Linked DNA regions of Nothobranchius furzeri. The protein of the gene in region 1 interacts with the protein of each later gene in a biochemical or structural test. Links are inferred from orthologs where the notes say so. Each region holds a gene or a part of one and is shown on either strand. Other genes may lie near its edges.

What was found.
Region 2: of the proteins of mcm7 (region 1) and cdc7, one has a biochemical effect on the other in vitro, tested with the Homo sapiens proteins (2 studies listed by BioGRID). The link is inferred for Nothobranchius furzeri from reciprocal best matches to the Homo sapiens genes MCM7 and CDC7.

The regions. Positions count from the first base shown.
Region 1 is NC_091741.1:79,979,107-79,981,512, reverse strand, and holds the end of mcm7 (DNA replication licensing factor MCM7), read right to left. Parts: intron 1,801-2,406; coding exon 1,691-1,800; intron 1,328-1,690; coding exon 1,102-1,327; 3' UTR 568-1,101; downstream 1-567. Other genes in the region: and3 (actinodin3), read right to left, coding at 296-378. UniProt on the Homo sapiens protein: Acts as a component of the MCM2-7 complex (MCM complex) which is the replicative helicase essential for 'once per cell cycle' DNA replication initiation and elongation in eukaryotic cells.
Region 2 is NC_091751.1:71,613,103-71,616,024, reverse strand, and holds the end of cdc7 (cell division cycle 7-related protein kinase), read right to left. Parts: intron 1,625-2,922; coding exon 1,227-1,624; 3' UTR 558-1,226; downstream 1-557. Other genes in the region: glmna (glomulin, FKBP associated protein a), read left to right, coding at 42-174, 241-311, 376-465. UniProt on the Homo sapiens protein: Kinase involved in initiation of DNA replication. Phosphorylates critical substrates that regulate the G1/S phase transition and initiation of DNA replication, such as MCM proteins and CLASPIN.

The DNA of each region.
Region 1 (2,406 bases):
CTTAAAGGCGAGATGGAGGATAATTACAGGTTAGCTTTGTGGGCAGGCACCGAGCTGCAGCACCACCAAACCAGATGTTCAGACACTTCTGTCCTAAAATAAAATGTTTTATTTTATTTTAATTACCTTAAAAGACTCAAAGTCTCTTTTTACACTTTATATTTATTTAATCAGGATCGTTGTCAAGTCGACGCCAGAAACAATGAAACACAACTTGAATATCAGATGAACAACAAGGCTTTATTTAACCGGCATTCATACAAGTTATCAATCATGAACGAAACATTTCTCTTACCGTTGCTTATGGGTGGAGAGCTGAACACCCCAGTTAGAAAACGTAATCCATGATAGGTGAAGAACTGAACACATGTAATCCATGAACCTCGTCAGGTAGAATCCTTCAAGCAGCTCTAACCCCCTGAGCTCTGCTCTGCTCCTTATACATTCCCTGATGTGCGTGCAAAGCTGCACACCTCCACCATGATTACCCTTGATTACATCCTCATGATAAGTGTGATTGACAAACAGTAGTGATCAATAACTTATATAAAGCAATTATACAACAGATGACAAGTTCATTTTTATTACAACTTCTCATGACACCAGGAGCCAAACTGACAGTGATGTTTATTACTGAAGCATTTATTATAACTAATACAAGGTTCAACATCAACATCTCATTACAAACACAATGTACAAGAACTCTCACTGATAAACTGATGCTTTACCCCACTGAACTGCAGATTAACCTTCCCACTGTCCTAATGGGTGTGACCCCGCGAAGAAAGTTGACCATTAAGCAGGGTTGATGGTTTATCCCTTGGGTCCATGTGGCAGGGGTGAGGTGGTGCTCAGTCCTCACCCCTGCCACGTGGACCTCACACCCATTAGGACAGTGGGAGGGTTACACAATGATGTGCTCTGACAAATATTTACAAGAAATCCATTAATTAACAGGAAACCAGTCAGGAACAGGATTTTTCATCATGTCCAGGTATTGAGAGGAAGTCTGCGTTCTGCCCAACTTGGGTTACAAAAGACATGATGCAGAAATAAAGAGAGCTCTAGTCGATGGCTGGGGCGAAGCGTGTCCAGGTGTGTTCATACGAAGGTGATGCGGCTGCGGGCCTGGTTGATCTGCCACACATTTAACTCCTCATACTCCTCCAGAGCCTCCTGGAACTGAGCGGGCGTGAAGCCACGAGAGATGCAACGCTGCTCAGCTTCAGACATGCGAACCACACCGCCTGCCCCGCCACGGCCGATCGTGCCCTCAGTGGCGAGCTCCCGCACCAGAGAGAAGATGACATCAGCTGGACGCTGCGCCCTGCAAGGGAGGAGGTCAGAATCAGGACAAACCAATCAGACGCTGATTAGAGGCATTAGGAACCAAACTGCCAAGAAAAGTTTGTTTTCCAAATAAAAAAAAACAGAAGAGTTTTGTGCATGGAAGGCCTGCTGCTTGAAGCACCAACTAATGACCAAAGTGAACATGCTGCCGTGTGAACCAAGCTCTATAAAACACCAGTCATGTTTTACAGCTTCCTGCAGAGCAGCTACTGCATATTCAGCAAACACAAGAAACCCATAAAAGGGAATTCTGGGTTTAACATCCGGTTCCCTCGTGTTAGGCTCAGGGTGCCTAGATGACCCCCCCCCCACACACACACACACACACACACACACTAACCTGGTGGTGCTGGATTTGTCAGCCTGCAGCGAGTCCTTCGACATCTCCATCAGCCGCATAGCCTCGTTCACATCCTCCTTCTCCACAGTGTCCATCATGCGAAGCCGGGCCTGATGGCAGGCATGGACAAAGTGTGGTGATGATGGCAGTTGTACATAAACACACACAAATATCCGACTGGAGTCATGTAAGAAGGTAGGCTGCGATGTGCCGGCACTGTCAGACCGAGACAAGTGCAATGCCCTCTGGAATGGCCGGCAATTGCTCAAGTCTCCGCCTCTCAAAACCAGCTAGTCTCTCCACAGGTTAAAAACTAAACCACACGAGATGAATGAGTCTTTTCAATCTACTCTACATGTAGAAGCTTGTGTTGACAGTTCTCGTCATAGTCAGTTTTGCATGGGTTTGCACAGCTGGTCCTAATGCACACAGGCTGACTGCCCACCCTGCAAAGCTGACCAGGATTAGAAACAATCAATCCCACTTGTACATTTCTTTGTATCAAACAGAACATGAATACTAAACTGAAGAGCAGCTGTGATCGTGCGACATCCCTGCTGCTGAGAGTGCCCCCTTGTGGACGGTGGTGTGCAGCACATTGCCTGCTTGTTTACCTGAAGTGCTGGTTTTGCAGTAGGTGGATGACTGCTACCTGCACAAACAGCACTTTTGACAACCAGAGGCAGAGACACCCCCCCCCCCCCCCCCCGTTAGGT
Region 2 (2,922 bases), on another chromosome or scaffold:
ACCTGTCCTCCTCCTCTCTAAACCACTTTGTCCTCCCTCAGACGGGCATCTGGACTGAGCTGTATAAGATAGAAGACACCTTCATGAAACCTCTACGCGTGGGGCTGAACATGTCCAGAGCCCACTATGAGAGGGAGCTTCAGGATACCCGGGAGGGCAAGAAGAAGGCCAAAGGTCAGGCCAGACTCCAGAGCGGGGCTTTTAGCCCAGACATCTTGTGACACCGTTTGTTTTTCACAGACCGCTCGGTTCTGTCGGTCTCTGTCGGAGAGGAGAAGCTTCCCCGCATGACGCCGGACTCTCAGATTCAGGTCGGTGTTTTCCTCCTCAGACACGAGCAGTCACGGTGATGTTAGTGAAAACGGCTTCTTTCAGGCGCTGCACTCTGCCCTCCACACCTTCGACATGATTGAGAGTGTGTTGGTGCGCGTCGAGGAGCTCACCGAGGTGAAGGACGGCGTGTAGACCACCAGAGGACCTGCAGCTTGTGGCGCTGCGTACTTTTCAGGTTTATGATGAGAAATGTTGCCTCCTGTGATATAAAATAAACATCTGACTCAAATCACAACTTTATTACCACCAAACAAACATTCTGATGTGGTCTTTTACACAACGTGGACATTTCATCCGGTTCTCACTGTTAAAACTCAGTCCCCCTTCAAAATAAAAGTCCTTTCACACCTTTAGAACCTCGTCCATCAGCTGTTGAGTAACTTCCTGCTTTCAGACATCAAGGAGCTACTTCACGTAGACCTCTGCGCTGGTCTGTCCGGGCCACTGAGCCTTTCGTTAGCTGACTGGTTCTGGTGTGGCCCGCTCAGTAAAACACACCCAGAACTGACTTCTTCATCAGGACATTAAAGAACTTCCTCCAATCCTTCACAATAAGAGTCTAAAACGGTCTCACATACCTAAAAGCATCAGAAGCTTTTAGTTTATTCTGGTCAAACTTCTGCTGCAGCCTGAACGTCCAGGAAGTCCGAAGTCCTTCCCAGAGGAGGTCTGAACCAAAAGGTCACCACTCGCCCAGGCATGACGGCTTCATTTGTGATTCCTCTCAATCCCAAATCTCTAGACGGCACCAGGACTTTCGCCGGGGAACGACCGTTATAGTAAACTAAATGATCGGCTTCACACGTCTGATGTGTTTGAGGCGTATTGTGAAGGACTGAAGGAAGTTCATGGTGAACGAGGTTACGGAGCAGCTCCTGGAGCTCGTTCTGGTCTCACAGGTCCTTGAAAAGCGGGTGCTGCAGCGCAGCAGCGGCTGTGATTCTGGTTGAAGGGTTCAGGTCCAGCAGCTGATCCAGGAGGTCGTAGGCCTCATCAGGAACGTTGTCCCAGCCCCGCTGGTCTCCTTCCTCGTCGCTGGGCCGTGTTGTGGGACCAGCTGTTTTACTGCAGGTTGATTGTTCTCCTGATCCATCTTTGCGTGTCCGGTCAGCGGCTTGAGAGGCAGGAGTCCCATCTCCAGTCTGACGCCAACTCTGACCCACGTTGACCTCTGCAGCTGGGGTGACATCATCATCATCACCCTCTAGCGTTGACCTCCTGCCTCTAAGCATCTCACACAGGGCTCTGAGGTCCTGACGAGGAAGCTCCCGACTGCACACCACCGCCTTCCCTGAAACAACAAGTTCCAACATGGATCTGGATCCTGAACCCCAACAACACCATGCTAGGTTTGTATTCAGAGACTACAGTGGGGCAAAGCCTCCAGCTACGCGTTCTCCCTCTGATGAAGATGAACTTTCATCATGGCTATACCTCAACTATGAGAGACAACATGAGAAAAAGCATCCAGGAAATAACATCGTCTGATTTTAAAGAAATTATTTGCAAATTATGTTGGAAAAAAGTATTTGGTGAGGAACAAAAGTCCATTTCAGTACGCCGTTGTACACCCTTTGTTGGCGATGACATGGGTTAAACGTTCTCTGAGTCTCCACACACTGTTGCTGGTATTTTGGCCCATTCCTCCATGCAGATCTCCTCTAGAGCAGTGATGTTTGGGTCTGTCGCTGGGCCCAACTCCCAGTAAAGATTTCCTGTGGAGCTGAGATCTGGAGACTGGCTAGGCCACTCCAGGACCCTGAAATGCTTACGCCACCGCTTCGTTACTCGAGCGGTGTGTTCGGAACAACGGGAAATCGCTTATTTTAATCTATGAAGCCAACACAGAAGTGACAAAGTTGCAGTTCCACACTCATCCACAAGGGGCTGGATCTAAAGCAGGGCAAACTTAGCCTAGCGAACTAGACCAAACTGGTCTAGGAACGCTCCACTGGAACCTCTGCAGCCCCAACAGCATTCTGGCTGGCCAATCACAGCTCTCTAGAGGGGTTTCAAACACAAAGAGCTGTGATTGGTCCATAATGGTGGGCCAATCATAGTGCTCTATCTGCTTAGTGAACAAATGACAGAGCTTTATCTGCTTTGTGGGCCAATCAGGGCACTCTATATGCCTGGTGGGTGGGATGATGCAACAGAGGGAAACAAGATGGCGACAGCTCGTTTGAAACGGCTTTTACATCCATGTTGGACTATTAGAACTCTGGCTTCATCAGAATCAGGAGCAGATAGATGTATTTAAGAGCTTTTTTAGAAAAAATGATGTGTTTTCCCCTTCTTCAACTGCGGACCGCCTCATTTACCGATAGCTGTTGCGGTGAGTATGTCACAATCATTGTCCAGTGGCATGCAGAGATCATTTGAAAGACAACAGTAGAACCCGCCCCACAACCGAGAGCCGTCAGTGGAGCGTGGCCAGACTACATAATACATTTATTTAGTCTGGCCTGCCAGGCTAAGGGAAACCCTCACCGACTCCCATGTTAAAGTGGCAGCGTGCAATCTCCTGGCGATAGGAGGCAATTCATACATTTCAGGGTAGCTTTACGCCCAATCGCCGTGACTGTTGCT